3 linked regions of the Drosophila melanogaster genome follow. The protein of the gene in region 3 purifies or fractionates together with the protein of the main gene of each other region. This does not show direct contact. Each region holds a gene or a part of one and is shown on either strand. Other genes may lie near its edges.

What was found. Proteins that work in one complex are often made in the same cells at the same time.
Region 1: the proteins of Syb (region 3) and CG15098 purify together in Drosophila melanogaster (affinity purification with mass spectrometry, with the first as the bait; one large-scale study listed by BioGRID). This does not show direct contact.
Region 2: the proteins of Syb (region 3) and HSPC300 purify together in Drosophila melanogaster (affinity purification with mass spectrometry, with the first as the bait; one large-scale study listed by BioGRID). This does not show direct contact.

The regions. Positions count from the first base shown.
Region 1 is NT_033778.4:18,831,477-18,837,358, forward strand, and holds CG15098 (uncharacterized protein), read right to left. Parts: upstream 3,300-5,882; 5' UTR 3,187-3,299; coding exon 3,000-3,186; intron 2,921-2,999; coding exon 2,835-2,920; intron 2,643-2,834; coding exon 2,489-2,642; intron 2,309-2,488; coding exon 2,175-2,308; 3' UTR 1,896-2,174; downstream 1-1,895. Other genes in the region: CG15082 (uncharacterized protein), read left to right, coding at 696-1,205, 1,314-1,639; CG15083 (uncharacterized protein), read left to right, coding at 3,916-4,036, 4,804-4,871, 4,940-5,102, 5,179-5,279; CG15099 (uncharacterized protein), read right to left, coding at 5,871-5,882.
Region 2 is NT_033778.4:24,025,822-24,031,617, forward strand, and holds HSPC300 (haematopoietic stem/progenitor cell protein 300), read right to left. Parts: upstream 2,969-5,796; 5' UTR 2,914-2,968; coding exon 2,793-2,913; intron 2,304-2,792; coding exon 2,194-2,303; 3' UTR 1,896-2,193; downstream 1-1,895. Other genes in the region: EbpIII (ejaculatory bulb protein III), read left to right, coding at 1,194-1,574; CG3163 (uncharacterized protein), read left to right, coding at 3,557-4,663; CG30172 (uncharacterized protein), read right to left, coding at 4,880-5,022, 5,149-5,344.
Region 3 is NT_033778.4:10,247,706-10,255,779, reverse strand, and holds Syb (synaptobrevin), read left to right. Parts: upstream 1-3,362; 5' UTR 3,363-3,498; intron 3,499-3,607; exon of another isoform or gene 3,608-3,705; intron 3,706-3,795; 5' UTR 3,796-3,805; coding exon 3,806-3,852; intron 3,853-4,566; coding exon 4,567-4,901; intron 4,902-5,193; coding exon of another isoform or gene 5,194-5,210; exon of another isoform or gene 5,211-5,411; intron 5,412-5,952; coding exon 5,953-6,029; 3' UTR 6,030-6,345; downstream 6,346-8,074. Other genes in the region: Csgalnact (chondroitin sulfate N-acetylgalactosaminyltransferase), read right to left, coding at 936-1,079, 1,141-1,443, 1,504-1,640, 1,755-2,793; CG12914 (uncharacterized protein), read right to left, coding at 6,620-6,838, 6,922-7,059, 7,109-7,255, 7,318-7,468, 7,536-7,648. UniProt on the Drosophila melanogaster protein: Involved in the targeting and/or fusion of transport vesicles to their target membrane.

The DNA of each region.
Region 1 (5,882 bases), 8.6 Mb from region 3:
TCCATTCTGCTCTTTAAAAATCTTAAAATTTAATTAATTGAAAACACAATTGAAGATGCCTAATAGGTGCATAAACTACGATTATACGTTATAGCCATTTAAAAATGGCAGAAATCTTCGTTTTTCCAATTTATCCGTCTCTGAATCAACCGAAGTTCTTTTGATCCCATTAAAAGAGATTAATAATAGTGATGTTTGTTTAAGTAAATCAAATCAAAAATCAAATCAAAAAATTTCCAATTTAAAAGTATATGTAATGCACAAAGAGTTATTTAATTATGCTATACTGTGTTTAACTACTTTTTATCCAATCTAAAAAACAATTAAAACTAAATAGCTTATAAACTTAAACTGAGACTAATACATTTTACTACGACAACTAGTTAGTTGTTCTTCCCTGCTTATGAAATTAAACGGAAGATATGACATCAATTCCATGGGGCAAACTTTATCGTAACTATCTCACATTTTCGGCAATTTTTCATTTCTCGGCAATTGTTCTAAATTGAAACCTGACCTTTTATTAGCCGCCATTGCGCCTATCACTAATTAAAATCTGTAGGGCACTAGCGGAAATTGGATGTCATGTAGTTTTGGCGAAGCCAACCCTGTTTGTACCCAAGTGACTACCCCAAATCCTGCGGGAGCACACACAATTAATGGGCCCGTCTGCCGATATGCTTCTCCACCGCCAGGTCCACTACGAAACGCACCTTTCGGCGGTGCACAGGTGGCGATAGCGACATCACCAACAACTGCTCGTGACCGTCAAATTCCGCCGGAGTGGGACCGAAACTGGAAGTTGGATCCGGACTGGGATTTCGCTGGAAGCGAGGGCAGGGAGTCGGTCGCGCCGATGACGTCACGCACCTTGGACAACTTTTACCCTTTCGATGGCGGAAATGCCCCGCCGAAAACCAGTGAAACGGAAATGGATAACCAATTCGGAGATAGCTATCTCGACCCGTATCCTACGCTGTTCGGTCGCCAGTGGCACCTCCAGCATCGCAGCAAGCAGCTGCAGGTGCAGCACAAGTGGCAATCTCCGGTTCCTCCACTTGCGGAAGTCAAGGCTAAGAGGGATCCCGCCAACTGGCCACCCGACGACGAGGAGCCACCGCTTACGTACCCCTACGCCTACACCTTGCCCTGGAAACGAAAGGAGGTTCCGGACTCACTCCGATATATGCCCTCGATCAGTGCTGGTGAGTAATGGAGTATTGGATAGGATTTGGATTCTTTGATTTAATTTAAAGCGGATTTAATCCTTAACCAATGAACCCATTGCTAGTGACATTCGTTCTACATTCCAGGAGCCATGACCAATCTGGGCGGCTTTTTCAACCGCCTGGAAGCGAACCTGCGCTTCGCGGAGCAATCGCAACTGGGTGAGTCGGAGACGCGTATGCTGGAGGGTAAACACCCGCACCCACTGCACCTGCCGCCCGTGCCGCCCGACGCTCCGGAGGATTCCGAGCAGAAGCAGGAGCACGACCGGAAGACATCGAAGCTCCTGCAGGCCCTGCGCAGCTACAGGCCCTCCCAGAAGATCCGATCGCTGGTGTCGCGCAATCCGCAGGGATACCGCGGCTCCCAGTTCATTGATCCCAGCTACATGTGGCTGGGTCTGGGCAAATGACAGTGAGACCGCCGGAGCAGCAGAATGGCCCATCAATAGTTACCTAAGTAGCTGCAACGAATGCCGCCCCAAGATTCGATTTAATTTATGCCCTCTGTGTGTGTAGAAATATATGTTTGAAAGCCTATCACAGTGTGTTAAGTTTTAAGGAATGGTATGTATTAACATTTTCGAATTACAAACAAATAATAGTAGCATCTCCAAACATTACAACAAGAAGCGTAAACCAAGCCCCTAAATAATTTTCCATTTGATTATTTATATAAAAAATATATATTTTTTTTTTTGCAGCCAATCGAAAAATCTTGTATTGGCCATTTCGTTTGGATATACGTATAGACACAATCGCGTTAATGTAAATATATATGATGTACACACAGATTTTCATTCTCTGATGCATGAAATACAACGTAGTATATAATTTTGGTGCTACTAGCTAGAAAAATATTGGGTTTATCGGGGAAGCCCCATTGGAAACATTCGAAAAGGGATATGATGAAATAAGAGCTGGCCAAACGGGAAGCTACACTGGAGCTTAAATCTTGGTGTAGCTGGGATAGGAGTTGGTCTGCTGGGTCGGCTGTGGGATCAGCGGGCGCTGGATCTCACGGGATGCCTGGATCTGCTTGAAGAGCGAGTAGATGCCGTAGTAGAGATACCAGGTCAGCACTGAAAACGAGCGAATGGAGAAAAATAAGCATCGTGCCCAAGCGCAATTATAGAACGATCGCAGACCGTCGAGCGATAAGCGCAATGGGGATCCACAATTTCGCAACAACGGCCAGTGTGTATTGTGTATACCCATTTCCAGATAGAGCTTATGTATGTATGAAGTGGTGAGTCACTTACAGAGCAGGCCAACATCCACGAAAATGATTGGAAGAGCGCTCAGGAAAGATGTATTTCCGATGATCTGGGCCAGCATTGCAATATTGGTGATAATTCCAAAGACAAGCAGCACTCCATTGTTGATCAGCCAGGGCAGCAGGAGTAAATGGCGTTCCTGAAAGGCAAACGCTATTAGAACCATCTCTATCTCTAGTTAGTATGGTGTATGTACATATGTATTTGCAAAGAAACTTGCCGGTTTTTTTTACAGAATAGTGGGCTTTTAAAAAGGTCTAACTCTAGATATGTACTATAGTAGACACATATATACGCGATTGTACAGATTGCATATTGATACTAGACTTACCTTAACGGTACCTGCAACCAACATGGCCGAAGCCAGAAGATTAATCACCTTGAGCGCCAGGTAAACACTGAAAACGATGATTAGCACTGCAATAACCGCAAGAACAATGAAATACAATAAAAAATATACGATTGGTTGTGGGTGCACTCGATGGTTAGCCCTTACCACTGCGAATCTCGGTGGCCGTCTTGTTAGAATCTTCCGATCCCTTGGCGATCTGCTGCGCAATTTCATCGACGAATCCGAGGGCCAAGGACAAGAGGATCGTGGCCAAGAAGGATAGAATCACGCCCAGCCATCCAATGACCACACCATAGGTGTTCAGGCGCATACAGAAGACCCTGGACAGCATTCTGGATTCACTTGATTTCGTGCTAATGCGAAGATAAAGACAATTTTACTTCAGTTCGCCGGCGCAGCAAAATTGCAATTGCTTGATAAGTCGCAATTGGCTGACAATTAAAAGCTTTTGGGTACAGCGGCGTTGCCAGACTGGTTCAAGCAGTTGGTGTCGAAACTGTGACTTGTTCACCAGCTTTTAATGTGACTTTTTAACGCTAATTGTTTAAAATTCTTTTAATAACATTTTTATATTTTAAATATTTTTATGCATTTATTATTTGGCATGATAGTTAAAAAATATTTATTTATGTATTCATTAACACTGCACAGCAGCGGCTTACTTTCATAATATTTTTCAAGGTGCTAATAGTAGCTACATTACATATATAATACAGCATTAAATCTCTCTATTATTTTAAAGACAATTCCCCATTTTATTCATTTCACTCTTAAATGACGAAACATATGCAAACAAATTCATATAGTAAATGAGTGCACATATATTTTTTAAGAACATATCAGACGTAGTTTTTCCACGCTCGAAAAAAAAGTATTTTCGTGTTGCATAGTTTACGCAACCGTTTCTTCTGAGCGGCATCGGCATTTGCGCCACACTTATTATTTGATTCTTGCCCAGTGCGGTTGTGTTTCCGTGCGCTAGGTGTTCCCAAACCGGTTTAAGTGCCATACTAGCCATATTTGTATTTGGAAAATTCGCTGTAAACCACAGAGTTTCAAAATGAAAATCGATCTGACGGTGGAAAATGGCCCGTGCAATACCGATTTGCGGAGCTGGTGCCTGGGAATCGCGATCTATTGGCTATTGAGCATGACTTTCAACGTTATATTCGCTCCAAACGGTAGGAGAAATGCGAGAGGCGTGGCATTTGTTTATTTTCAGAAGCTGATTGCCCAGACTGACGCTATTTCCATAGAGAGACAATACATTCATGATGTTCACATGCGAAATAAACGAATGAGCTAATCCATTCGACACAAACGCGTTCCAATTCACAACCATTTTGGATACAACACCTCACCATCGATGACGACATCGCCGACAAATTCGAGCTGACAATTCATTTTAGGTGGCCCGAAATGCCATTTTCTCACAGGCTTGAATTTTCCAGCACAAAAAAGAAAATTAAATAATTTCCTTGGGCTGTGCATGGCGCAGAATTAAACTTAAAAGATTATTGGGTTTTAACAGTTGAACGCCATATGTCATAAAAACACTTAAAGCCCTGCATTTGTCCATGTCTCAAAGAAGTTCTATAAACCTTATTCTAAGCTGTTTTAAAAAGTTTGTCATATTTCATGTATGAAATGTGTTTAAAATATAAAAGAAGAATTTATGTTTTAGTTCTTTATGTATATGTACACATGTACATGAAGTGCATCAGTGCATCAATATGTACTCATTATATACGAAGATACATTTAGCAGTCGTGTTCTCAAATTTCAGACGGGAAGAAAGATAAGAGCACAGCAACGTTTTGCTTGGAATACATTGAGTCACTTATAAGCCCAAGTTTATGTTTACTTTCCACTAATTGTAACGGCTTTTTTTATGAATGAAATATGTACGTTCAATAATTTCTATTTAAATTCACTTGAATCCTTGCAGTTCTTACCTTTATTGGATTTGCCATCGTAGTAGTCGCCAATATTTGCTTATTGATAGGAACCCTGAAGGTAAATAAAATACAACCCATTCCGTTTTATTGAGTCAACGAAACCCAATCTACCTTTCCGAATTGCAGGAAAAGCCAATTCTGGTGTTCGTCTGGCTGATCTTCGCTGCCATTGAAGCCATCTCCTTTCCGTTTGCCGTCTTCGGGGTTATCTTCCACTACGGAGGATATCGCGAGGCTACCGGAATGAACAACGTTTTCGGTGCCCTGCTCGTTTACATCATCACATTTCGTAAGTATCGGCTATGAACATCAAATTGAGTTAACAAAAATGTACAGATCATACATATTCTCCGCTACACTTTCAGTATTGATCCTCTTCAGCGCACGAATTGTGTACTCCTTCTACCTCCAGCTGAAAAACAGCGAAGCCAGCAAACAAACACCGCGCGCCATGAATGTGGTTTAGTCCTTATCATTCTACACTACATAAATTGTCGGGGAAGAGCCCACCGTTCGTTCATCTCAGTGTTTGCAATAAAATGCTTTGTTTTTTATTTGATTGCAGTTTGTCGTTAACGCACATCTCTTACTCACATCGACTTGGGATCAACTATCAACAGTTAAATACATTGGTTACATACATATACATACAGGGTGCTATTGGCTATTGGGCTACCGCGTTCTTAAACATTCAACATTTAAAACGATCGATCACACTACGGACAATTATATACTCTCGACACAGTTCTCTATCTATATAGCTAGCTATCATACTCGGCATCGTCTTCTGCTCCAATCTGCTTACTTAGACATAAAATGGAAAGTTGGTCATCTTATTGTTGCTGCTGTTATTGATGTTTTGCGACTGCGTAAAGCTCGTCTCGGCATTTTGGGTAGTTAGCTTAGCCTGCACGGCCGCCAGTATTCGCACAGCCTGGCCAGTACTGCCCGACTCCATGGCAGACTCCATACCTAGGTTCAGGTTCAGCTTGAGCTCGAAGTGTGACCCACTCGCTTGGATCTGCGACTGCGTCTGCCGTTGGGCAACAGCCGGTTTTCATCTCGGCGT
Region 2 (5,796 bases), about 14 Mb from region 3:
TACTTTTTACATTTCACTATTTGTAACTACAATACAATTTAATAAAAAAATCGAAGGAAACAAGTACATTTTACGAGACATGACTGCTTTAAACTGGGCTGCGTTCGAATGAGGGATGGACGACGCCAAGTTCAAACTTCCACACAATTGTTTTCCGGAAAGCTTCTGGAATATGATGCGGCTGACTCAGTTTCGAATCGAGGTTTTTAGCGTTTGATGGATAGCTACTAATTGTTCCGAGAACTATTTATTATTGCAATCAACTTTAAAGCGACTATTAAAGGGTCATGTTGCACGGGTCTCAAGTGTAACAAATGAGAAATTGCTAATGGAAATCGCTAATGAGATCGTTAAATCTGGTAAACAAATAACATATCGCCAAGTTAGCCCGTCCATCGTGGCTGCGAATCTCTCGCAGAGCGACTTTCGATCGCCGTTTAGTACTCAGACGTCACCTGCCTAATGTTAATGTCAATTTAAGTGTGTATAACTATCGCACATATATTATATAAATTTATAACGACGATTGACTAATCACTGGGTTGACTTTTCAGCAATAGCGATTTTCGCTTCAAAGTCTAAAGTGTGTGCAATCCCGTATGGATACGAGCCGAGCTCGAACACAGGCTCACAGCGCGCGGTTTGTGTTGTGTATTACACTTGAAGTTCAATCCCAGGTAAAAAGTGGGCCCAGGTATAAAAGCCCACTTCATAGAAACATTTCTCAGTTAGTTCCAGCAGCTGAATTGCTTCACATCTATTCGCTCCGAGTCGCCCCACAAGTCGAGCCCCATTGTAAGACCACCGCACCGTTTATAGTTTTTGGAGCCGATCGGCTCGGCTGGTCGACTGGTGGCTGGTAGTAGTCCACACACTCATGGACGCAGCCAGACGGGCAACCAGTTTCATTGTGTATAAACAGTGACATCTTTTCAGACAGCGAATGTGTTTCAGATACGCATACAAAGTGGCCTGCCTGGCTGTGCATTAATTTGCATACAAATCCCATAAGTCCACAGATACATTTTGCGAATGCAGTCGCGCTCGATGGCTAGTAAAAATATTTTTCCATTGCCCAGTAAAATCCCCTGCGCACAAAACTGGTTGCCCGACCAACAGACCCACTAAGCCACAAAAGTGCTGATTAATCGTACAAACATACTTACCCCAATTCGCCCGCAGAAAACTCCAAGATGAAGATGATACTTGCGCTTGTCGTCCTTGGACTGGTGCTGGTCGCCGCCGAGGATAAGTACACCACCAAGTACGACAACATCGACGTCGACGAGATCCTGAAGTCGGACCGCCTCTTCGGAAACTACTTCAAGTGCCTGGTGGACAACGGAAAGTGCACCCCGGAGGGCCGGGAGCTCAAGAAGTCCCTGCCGGACGCCCTGAAGACGGAGTGCAGCAAGTGCAGCGAGAAGCAGCGCCAGAACACCGACAAGGTCATTCGCTACATCATCGAAAACAAGCCCGAGGAGTGGAAGCAGCTGCAGGCCAAGTACGATCCCGATGAGATCTACATCAAGCGCTACCGCGCCACCGCCGAGGCCTCGGGAATCAAGGTGTAAGGCGGATCCCGGTTCCGGAAACTCTTGGTTATATGCACTGTTAATTAGGTCTACGCTTATATCTGATCATCAAAATTATTTCTACGATCGTGCTCGGAATAAAGAGATTTGTTTTTTTACCATACACCTGCCGAGTATTATATCGTTATCGAAGGGGGATTTGCCAGGCTTCAGAGAGTATATAAATTAACTATGACAAATGTAGCACTTAAGTCTAGCCTCCTGCTACTAGAACGATGATTAATCTAAGCACAATTAAGGTCTTAGAAAAAACATTCACAAGATTACGACTAGACCCTAATAAGCGGCTTATATATGGCGGGCGATTTGCATTAACATTGACAATAAAGGCAGCTACGGTTAGTTGGCAAAAACATCGCGTGCTTGTCTTGGTTCTGAGCTATTACTTATATTATTCTTAAAAGGGGCAATGAATCGAATCCGATGGCCGCAAGTAACTCAGCCGTGAAAACCTTCCTTCAAAGAACAAACAAACAATGTACAGCGAATTATTAATGTCACGGCAATTCACATTGCGAATCAAAAGATATTAAATATTAAATCAGTATTTTAATTACTTATAAATGTACAAAGCTTAGTATAAGGTTGTGGGCAGCGTTTACGTTAATGTTTCACCCTGGGCGACGCACGCCTCCAGATAGTCTATGCGCCGCTCCAGGATCGTTAGTTTTTCGTTCAGCACCGCCAGACGGGAGCGACAGGACATATCTGAAAGGATATGATAGCACACGATGATACAGTTTATAATGCCAACAGTGTACATAAACCCTATTAAGGATATGGGATATTTTAGCAACCCAACTACCTCGCACTCTTTGGCTTATCATTTATCACAGTATTTAGCGTATCTTAAATTATGCATAGAGCAACCGAAAAAGCTTATCCAATTCATTTAGGTGACTAATTCGGATAGAGATAAAGCCGAATTTTCGTTTTGAGCCCTCCGATGATGTTACATACATACATTTCCATATGTATGTAGATACATATATTGCTATACATATATGCCACCACGCACAAACCACTGTTTGTTTCTATAGACTTAAGACTTGAGTAAATAAAGTCATTGTCACTGATGAATATTTGTTAGTAATATTACTTATGCGTTCACCCACACCTACAAAGGAAGTGATAATAAACACGCGCACACACACATGCGTCAGAGGGAAGTGGGTGCTTCGTATGCAGGTTGCTTACCGAAAGAGTTCAGAAAGTCGGTGATTCTCTTTATGCTGGCAGTTATCACTTCGATATACTCCCTGTTCGCCCAGTCCTGGTGGATCTGCTTTTGGATCGCCTCTCTGTGAGCCCCACTCATCTTTATTTATTCCTATTGTTTCTGTTCGTTTTAATTGTGTTTATCTAGAGATGAGAGATGGGTTGGGCCGGAACAATTATTGTCAAAAATTTGGAACTATCGATAGGCATACAATTACCGTGTTCACCGTGATTCATTGAGATCAAATTTTTACTCCAACAAGAAATTTTAATGGTGTTTTACAACACTCCCTAAGCACTACTATTTAAAAATTACGCGGGAAAGTGCGATGAAAGAAATAACTTAATATTTTTGTCTGCCAACTATAGCGTGTAAATATGAATAATAAAATAAAGGTAAATAATAAAAGTATTGGGGTAGACACAGCCGAATATATAAAGAAACTTATCGCCGCAATATACAATTGTATATCGCAATATACATAGATATATTCGAATTTGCGTTTGCTATATTTTATATTAACCGTGGGTTAGTTTTCGATGTTTTATTGTTTTAAATGATATTTATTAAGGAATTACTGCAAACCAGCAAAGTATGTACCCATTTTGCGGTCCGATTCCGCGTGTTCCAATCGGAATGAGCCGAGCGAAACGATAGCTATTGATGCCACTCACGCACACGCACACATAGATAAACTAGGTGGCCCCGTAAACTACAGTGTTTTTCATTTGGTAAACAAAAAATGGACTTTATCGACGACTTCATCGAAGAATACAAAAGCAATCCGTGCTTGTGGAAGGCGGACTCGGCGGACTTCAGGAACCGCAGCCGCCGGCAGGAGGCCTACGCGAAGCTCATCGAGGTGGCCACCAAGCACGGGGAGATGTACAATGTGGAGCGAACAAAGCAAAAGATAAACAATCTGCGCTGTGCATTTCGTCATCAGCTGAGGAAATACAACGAGGTCAAGAAAAAGGGCGAGAAGTACGAGCCCTACTGCCCCAAGCGCCGCTACTTCGAGTCCCTGATGTTCCTTAAGGACGAGGAGATCCCCGCCGACAAGAAGTTCAAGCGCGAGCAGTCGGTCTGCCTGGACAACTCCATGCAGCTAGGGGCGCCAGAGAACGGCGACGAGTATTCCGACGCCGAGAGCCTGCACAAGCCCCCAAAGCCGACGGCAGACTCGATCAAGATGTCACCCAACAACAGCGCCAACGAATTCTGTGCCAACATCTTCGAGGAGGCCGCCGCCGCCGCTGCCGCTGACCCCGTTATCAGTATTAAAACAGTCAACAACGCCAACAGCCATGCCAGTGGCGCTACTATCAAGGAGGTCGAAATCGTGGTGCCTGCTAACAACAGGCTGCTGTCCGCCCGCAGAAAATCCGTGCCCGACTCCATAAAGTCTCCGCCTGGCGACTCCGAATCGCCGCAGTGCAAGCGCATCGTCACCCAGAACCAAACGAAACTGATCAGTAATCAGAGCCCGAGCCAGAAAGCCAATCACATAACACGGAAAAGGTCCTCCTCGGTCTCTTCGCAGATTTCGGAGGACAACGAGCCGCCTCCAGGTAAATTCCGAGCGGACATTTCCACCATTGACTTTGAGCGCCTCTTTTCGCTGGCCCTAAAGAGTGCGGACAGCCAGCTGGACGACCACTTCTCCAACTTCGGGAAAATTATCGCACACAAGCTTCGCTCCATGGACGGAACACAGGCTATCTACGCGGAAAAGATCATCGCCGATGTGCTGTACCAGGGCCAGATGAAAATGCTGTCCTCGCTGAGTATACACCAGTTTATGGGCGTGGACAATGCAACAGTTTACCTAGAGAGCCACAGTAAATGATGGCCTGGCCCCTTTAAAGACGTACTTTTAGAGTTTATGTAATAATAAGATGTAAAGAGACAGTCATGTGTACAAAGCCATGTTTTATTTAAAGGAGGGATTCCTTTCAGCCGCCTAATCCTTAGAAAATCCCCTAAGCTACGAAACCAAATGCTAGGAATGATGTCGAGACTAGTTTATTATATTCGATGCATGAGAATAACATTTAAATGCCATTTAGGCACTGTCGTACTTCCTTAGAAGCATGGCCCATACGTCCGGGTATCTAGTTTGCAGAAATGTGGTCAGCTTTTGCGCTTTTTGAGCCTGTTGTGGGGAGCAGTTCCTGCATTTCCTGGTTATAACTTCTGGCAGGGCAGCTGTAAGAACCAAATTCGAAATAATTACATTTTGGGCTCTTTACCAATTGGCGAAGAACTTGAAAAGAACTTTGGACTTAAAATGATGTTGTATCTGAACGAACATTAAACGAATATGTTTATTACCTTTGAGTTGAAGTCCCAGTTGGTCGCATTCGCTCTTGCCCAGGATGCACATAATCTGGCGGCTGACCACCACCTGGTTGTTCAGCAGCTTGTTAATGTTTCTCTCATCCGCTTGGACACTCGATGAAATGAGAATGATAAGAAAAATAAAATTAACGACCAAAGAAATCACTCGGTTTTTATTTAAAAGTAGCATCCTTTCTGAACGCGAGACGGTATAGTATAACTGAATGTGGAGCAGAAACTGTGTATCTGTATCCCGCAGATATTCGTGCATGCGCAAAGGAGCTGGACTTCGCAAAATCACGGAAAGGGTAATGATTGCTAAGCACTGTGATTACAATCCGAATATCTGATGAGATGCCACGTACTCTATATACATGGCAATCTTTCGTATATGATAGCATTCCTTCAAATTGGCTATCTTGGTATTCTATTCAGTTGTAAGCATCTGAGATATGTTCAAAGCATTTTTGTACCCAATTTGCAATGGGCAGCCCAGAAAGTAAGTCAGCACCTGCTGTTCCATGCGATAAGAAGGTAAATAAAGAGCTTTCAATGTTTTTGCGTTGTGCTTAAAAGTTATGTTTTACTAAAACAACACATTAAGTACTTTGCAAGGCAGTCAAGACAAGAACAGAAGTATCC
Region 3 (8,074 bases):
GTCAAGTAATAAGGTCAAATTGAAAAGGTATTTAGATGTTATTTTTAGAACCTTTGATTTTAACTGGAGGACCGTTATATCAAATGAATTTGCTAAAGAATAATCTTAAGCATGACAAACTACCTTACCAAAAACTTTTTGTGGAAGGGGCACATCCGAGGTGTAGCAGGTGGCGCCACGGATCACCTTCTTCGTCTGCATGCTCAGTGAACCCCAGGCAAAGGTCGTTGGCATTGTCCATAAAAAGCATAGCCCAGCGGCGAAAAAGAAACAAAAACCAGGCGACAAGTTTAATTAAACGATTTAATTTAGTTTTTACAAAGCGCGCAACAGTCTGGCAGATTTGCTAGGCTCAGTTTGAGATACAGATTCGATATGGTACTCGTAAATATATATATGTATATGTATTTTCTTGGGCTTTGGAGATTGCATCTAGTTCGCTTCATGGAAGAACAATTTGTGATGTGTATGTGTACAGTGCGATTTGACATCATCTTCATCTCTGTGTGGTTGTGGCTCCCTTGAGGGCGCAATAAGATCAACAATTAAGCTAATTCAACGATTCTGCTAAATACGAGTTATTGTCTCAAGTTGTACATACTTTATAGCCTACAGTAAGTACGTGAGTTTGCATGTGTGATTGAGTGGCAGTGCTCCTTTCCATTAAAACTGATTTTAATAACTGACATAACTGAAGCATAAAATAGATATCACAATATTGTATATTCTATCTAAAACAATAGATATCATTGAGAATACTGATACTGCTAGCGATAGAAATGAAATCACAATTCAATTTTATAATAAAACGAAATGGAATAAAAGCTATAATTGTTAGAAAACCCTAGACATTTCAACTATATCACTGCTCTCCATTCACACACACTTAAGTAGAGAAGCCAAGCGATTGGGGATACATGGGGAATAGTCGAGTATCACGATGTCATCTTTGCCGCATTAGCCGCGGCTATATCATCCCGGAAAGCCAGGAATCCCAGTTGGGCGTGCGAGGCCTCATTCAAGGCCCTCGATCGAATGCAGGCCCGATACTGATCGGCTGTCAGGGAACTGGAACAGATCTGTGTAAAAGAGAGAACTCGGTAGTGCAAATGGGCTGAAATTCGTTGCATACAACAGTACCTTGGTGTGCCAGCGGTGAAAGATTCCCGGGTCGGTGGCCCTGATTATCTTGATTTTTGATCGAACATACTTTCGGTATAGCATCACATCCTCGCCGCCCCAACCGACAATCTCCTCCTCGTCGAAACCGCGCACCTTTAGGAAGTTCGAGCGGTACTGGCACGTCATTCCGTAGCCAAAGTCCCGCCAGAAACCGGTGTCCCTCGATATCACCAGTTGCTCCTCTTCGCTGGGCAAGGGCTTGCCCTGCAGTGAGTACACCACATGCGGATTGTACAGGCTAAATACGACGGGGTAGTAGACCTAAGCGTTGAAAATAGATGTTAATGTATTAGTAATTTAAATAATAGCAGATATATTTACCTTCTTTCCAGGCGCTGCATTCCAGCGACAACGCTCCAGGAACTTGGTCGTGAACATAATGTCCACGTCGCACATGAAGAGCAGCACGTCCTCCTCAGCGGGTTGAATGTGCTCCGCTCCCAGTCTTAAAGCTTTGGCTATAAGCAAAATGGCTATTATTAACTACCAATATTATTTGTAATGCATTATAAACTTGCATATGTATTATGAACGAAACAAATGTAATATTAATAAACGAAACCCGTGCTTACCCCTACTGAAAGTCTCATTGAGTGCCAAAAACTGAGTCCTTTGGGATCGTCCAGCCAGGCTCCTAGCTTGCTCCAATCCACTGGTTCCAAAGTACACCACAATAAGCTCCAGGCGACGATCCTCTAGCTTGGCGAACATCTGCAGGAAGCCGCGAAAGCTGTGCAGACGTCCAGCCAGCGGTAGTATCACGTGGATTATGGGCGGACTATGACTTGGAGGGGCACCACTATTATCCACACTGGAAGATAGCTCCGATAGCTGCACCGTTTGCAGAGGAGCAAATGGTCGCATGACCAGGGCTCTCCGCACTGGACTCGCCTGGTGCTTGACACTCTGGAAGTACAGCTCGTACTGGGTGCCTGTGGTGGGTTCGTTGCGGTATATGCCCTCGATAAAGTCATCCAGGGTGTATTTGATCACATCCGAGGCGTAAGCCGCTGCAGAACCAGCTCCCTTGGCTCGTATTCTCGCTGAGTGATTCCTGTTCAGGCTCTCCAGCGCCTTGTTTACCGCCTCGATGAGGTCACGTCGTCGATAACCGATGGGCTTCTCCACCACGCGCTTTCCCAGGCCCAAGTCGATGGGATATACTCGCGTGAAGGTGAAGTGATTGTAGGGTATCAGCTCGTACTCGTTGTTCAGCGGCAGTCCATGCAGAATTTCTGCGGCGCCCACCTGCTTGCGAATATAGCTGCTGCAGTCGTAATGGTGACCCAGTGGTGCAGTTGGTGGCCCCGCGGTGGTTTCTTGCAATTGAAGACTGCCATTTGATGGCTTGGCAGTGCTGCGATTATTCTGTAGAAAGAGGATTTGAGTGCGGAGAGCCAGGACTTCCTGTTTCAGCCGCTCAATTTCCGCCTCTCGTTCGCTTAAGGTGTAACTGAATCCGCTGGATTCACTCGGATTATTGGCTTGAGTTTCCCTCGTCGTCAGTTCATCGAATCCGCACTTTGTGAGCACCACAATGGAGGCGCCGGTCAACAAGGCGAAGAGCAGCAAAAGCCGCAGCAGCAACTTGGTCACCAGGGAGTTATGCATTTTCCATAGTTTCTTACAAAATTTTCAACCTATTGAAAATAATAAAATAATTAGTTATCTAAGTGCAATAGTAAAATGCAAACACACATTTGAGACTGTAAAAAAAACTAGTAACGAATTATCACAAATTTTATACATTGCTGTGGAATTCTACATTTTTATTACATATTATACATGTACATGGCTCGGTAGAACAGTTTATTGGTTTTTGTCTCTGCTATTTAGGCAACAGTGCGTTATTAATAATTTTCGCTGATCTTTTGTAAAAGTATTAAAGATAAATCAGTTAAGAGCAAACAAAAATTTCATTTTGGCTTGCGGCACTGGTAATTTAAGTAATAAAATAAGATACAATAATATAAGACATTGATTTGAAATCAAACATCATCTGCAAGGAACTAAAGAAAAATGGAATGCAAGTGCTTGTTAACAATAATTTGTGCGCCGATACACATACTAAATATACCAATTCATGTTTTTTATAAGCTAGATAAGTATTATCTTTTTATATTTGCAAGGGGTTTTCAGGAAACATCGATAGTATCGATAAGGTATCGGGCTTGGTTCCAGCTCTAATAGTTCAACGGTCACACTGATCACAAGCTGATATTTCTATAAAAAAAAATAGTGCTATTTAAAAAGCAGCCGCAGTTTTCCGTGGAAAACCCGAAATACACAGCAGTATTCTACAGGCACATTGTCAAGGTGAGTGCTCGGGGGTGGTGGGTGGTTGGGGGTGGCGTTCCACCCATGTAAACAGCGTTTGTTGGCAGTGCGGCATGCAACAAGTTCTTTTTTCGAGCAAAGGTGATGGCATTCCTATAAATCGAGTGATTCATAGGCCGAATAGATAAGGCGTGTGCTGCGTTTTGTTTTCTTTTCTTTTCGGCCCTGTAATCTAAACAATTTCGGGTGTGTGTGTGTGATGGAACATGCATTCTCCCCATTTAAAGAACCAGACATCCAATAAAGGCCTTTCTCTGCTTCGCTTTCTTTCCGCAGCAAATTCACAATGGAGAACAACGAAGCCCCCTCCCCCTCGGGATCCAACAACAACGAGTAAGTGGTGGAAATCCATCGAATCAACAGGCTCAGCGCACAAAAGCAAGGAAAATCCCATACAGTGACGTCACCTGAGTCATATGGGCCACAGCGAACCGGAAGTAAAGTCTTCGGACTTCACTTTCGGACATTGGAATACCGTAAACGTCATGCTGCTGCCCAAGCGGTAGCTTCAGTTGTAGTTTGAAATCAATTAGGGTCATTAAAAGCATTCAGTTAAGTTGAGATATTGTAAAGTCAGTTGCTATCTTAGATGGAATATTAATGTGAAATGGCAAATTAACTCGAATAACAAAAAAGTATTAATTATATTCGATTCTAAATTGTAAAACATTTGCAAGTAGCTTATAATCAGAAACAGAATTTGCTTATTAATCACTTTATCGCAAATGGTAACTGAACATACTTAAGTATGTTTCATTTAACATCTATGAAAAACAAATGAATATTACTCATTTTATATTTTTTTTTGTCAATGGAATTTCAACAGCACTTGAGATTGTGAAGTTTTATTAGTCTATCCGAATTTAAGAAGAAAGAAAGTATTTATAGGACACAAGTCCCATTATTAAAACGTGAAAGGTGAATTGGCATAGATAACGATGGCATGATATACCAAGACTCGTGCTTTTGTGCGTTGCAGCTTGATGATCCATCTGCTGCTCTTAATAAGTGTAAGCAACCCCCACAAACACACATAATATTGTACAGTTTTCCCATACTTCCGCCACCGCCGAACGCGAATGACAACTACAATCAATTCGGTGACCATCAAATCAGGAACAACAATGCAGCCCAGAAGAAGCTGCAGCAGACCCAAGCCAAGGTGGACGAGGTGGTCGGGATTATGCGTGTGAACGTGGAGAAGGTCCTGGAGCGGGACCAGAAGCTATCGGAACTGGGCGAGCGTGCGGATCAGCTGGAGCAGGGAGCATCCCAGTTCGAGCAGCAGGCCGGCAAGCTGAAGCGCAAGCAATGGTGGGCCAACATGAAGATGATGATCATTCTGGGCGTGATAGCCGTTGTGCTGCTCATCATCGTTCTGGGTAAGCTAACCGATTTTATACCGCTTCGGCTTTTTGCCTCTTGCTGGTGCTTCTTTCTGGTTGCGGTTTTTCTCGATCAGGCTAAAGATCAGTAGTGTAGCTAGGTGGCTGGTTTGGTTTGGTATTGTTATATCTATAACGCAAGTCGACGCCCTGCAAACGCCCTAATCTTGCTCAACCTGTGGTTTCGGTCCTAACAACTTGTCCATGTGGCTTGCAGCTAACTAATCCAATAACAGATACTCCTACTCGTACTGATGACAACCCCTTGTGAATTTCTGTTTACTTGCAGTGTCGCTTTTCAATTGATACAATTAAACACACACTCACAGAAAAACAAAAGCAAAGCCAACAAAAATCATGTAATTCCGTTTCCCAATCAGCAAAGTTAAGGTTCAGATTAATCGTTTAACACGTTTGTGTACGTGTACTGGCTCCTACTATATACTCCTTAAATTGTTTATTATATTTTATAAAAGTCTTAAGCTAAGCAACTCTAAAGCTCTAAAGGTAATTGTTGTTCTTGTGCCTGTCCTAAGTGTTAATTATCGTTATATTTGTTTAGTCTGTAGTGTGCGAAGATTAGAACCTCCATGTCATACGTGTGTAGACTATAAAGTTCATACATATGTATATAGCTTCAGCAAAGCTATTAAGAAGTTAAAAATGGTTATATCTACAGTGCAATGTTGGGGCTAGGGCTCTGTTCTATGGAGAAATTTCATTTTAAAAAGTCATTTCGATTTTATTCAAATTAAACTCGCGTAAAAAGTATTAAATAAGAATGACAATACGAAATCCGTGCTGACATCGAAAGGTATGTAAGATAGTAAGCGGGAAGATAAAATCTGACTTTAAAAGTTGTTAATTAATAAATAACTGAAGAAATCTTTCGTCAACAAAACGCTCAGTACAATGTGCTGGGTGGTTAGAACTTTTACTTAAAAAGACCGCGATTTCATTTAAATGCGAGATAGGATATGAAATCCTTTTCATATCTCGTTGAATTGATATAAACATAGCTCTAATATCTGCGTATTTCCCTTTTTAGTGTCCGTTTGGCCGTCTAGTAGTGACAGCGGCAGTGGTGGAGGAAACAAGGCCATCACCCAAGCACCGCCGCACTAAAGGCCTCCTAGGGAGTGAGGTAAACACATGGATACGAAATGGAAAAGGACCAAACAAACACAACTGGGACGGAAACCTTTCTGGTCTTTTCGCGCAATGAGAGAAGGGGAGATGAAGAAAATCAAAAGGATAACTTACTAAAATTGCGTCTAGCATATATTTAACCAGAATGTAATTATTAAATCTTAATGTTAAACTTAACATTTTTACGTGTCGTAGCCGAGACCAGAGGTCCCATTAATGTGTATTGCATTATATACAATTATATATACGTGTATATCATCCAATTGAAAATACATCATGCCACCTACACTTTAACCGGACCCATCAAGTCCACCGAAGTTTTATGGAAACGTTTCGCGGACAGAGCCATTTATTTACATTCAGCGTTTTTGCTTAAGATGCGCGTGCCATGGAAACAGTTATCGATTTTCCGGCAAACCGAATCGAAACAAGACGACAGCAGTCGCGGGCACCCAGACAAACTTGCCCCATCGACATCGAGGCACTGACCAATTGCCGCAGGAACTGAATCGTCTCGCATAAACATTCTGTCCCAGCTGTTCCGATAGTCCACGCATGCGTTCCACTCATTCGATGTTCTTCCGATAGAACAGGTACACGAATATATCATGAATGTCCGCGCGCCATCCCATCAATTCTATAAACGAGGCTGTCGTCCACACATAGCCCATATATAGGGCAAAAAAGTTGAGGTAGTACAGCTGGCCGATCAGTATGTAGTCCCCGGTCGACTCCTGGCGGTAGAAGTTCGGCTTTCGCATGGAAGCGCCAAAGACTATGACAAACTGTGGGCAAAATTGGAGGAATACTGTGTCGTTATTTTAAAAATGGGAAAGTAGGTGTATCGTTTCGTTTCCCTGAGGCTTACCACGCTCGAGAGAATGGTGTATACTAGCAGGGTTGGAAACTCTATGATAACACGCTTCATCTCGGCACACACGATGATGCCAAAGCAGGTGAGGACAAATATGCGCTCGCTCCACAGGATAACCTTATGCCGGGTAGTCTGTGGTAAAGGAGGTAAGTGTCGGCGGGTCAACAAGTTCTTCACTTACGAAAAGGCCTTTCTTGTGTTTGATGGCACTATTTCCGTATATCACACTGATGATCATCATAAGGAATGTTAGGAAGATTGACAGGATGAGGCTTATATAAGGGGCACGTTTGGCGGGCTTCATGATCGACATGGTGTTCACCTCGTACTGCAGATCAAAAGAGGTCATTCGAAATGGACACCATCAGTTGAGATCATTCATGTACTTACCGTCCAGAGGCCCGCCAATAACCGCACCCACATAGGCTTTTTAACGATTATGTGGTAGAAAAATCCGTAGAGCTGGATGGATAGGAAGCTGACGACAAATTGCACGAGACTGAGGTAGTAGCGATCTGCGAGAAATTCCTTCAGGGGAGTGCTGAAAAAGAGGAGCAATTGAAAGGTCTGTCAAAAGCCGCAGGGCAAGAGCATGGATCACTACTCACATCTCCATCGCCACCGAGACCTGAATCTGTCCGATGACGAGCATAATTATGGTTACTCTGTACGTGGGTCCCACCCAACTCTTTTGGCGCGGTGGGGGGTTTTCGCGCAACATATGTACAGACGCTCTAGTTCTGAAACTGTATTTGGAGTGGCTTGTTTCGATTCACATCTAAATTTATGAGAAAAACATCAAACTATCAGAAAAATAAATGCCAACTGTTCTGTCCGCCAGCGGGATCGCGGTAGGTTGGATTGGTCCGTTAATCGTTACCTTCCGGTTGGTTTTGAGGTGTGAAAACTCATTTGCGGCACGTAAATGACCAGCAAAGTACGGCCATACAAAAATTTTGCGAATTCTGTATGTTGTGTAACTGCCTAACTCCCATTTTACATTTTGCAATGAATGATTTTATATTCATTGAAAGTATTCCTACAAAACCCTAGATATCTATGATAAAACATACATTTTTTGAACTAGTTTTTGAAATCAAGTCACTATAATCATTGAAAAAGGTGAGCATATAGGTGACCATAGAAT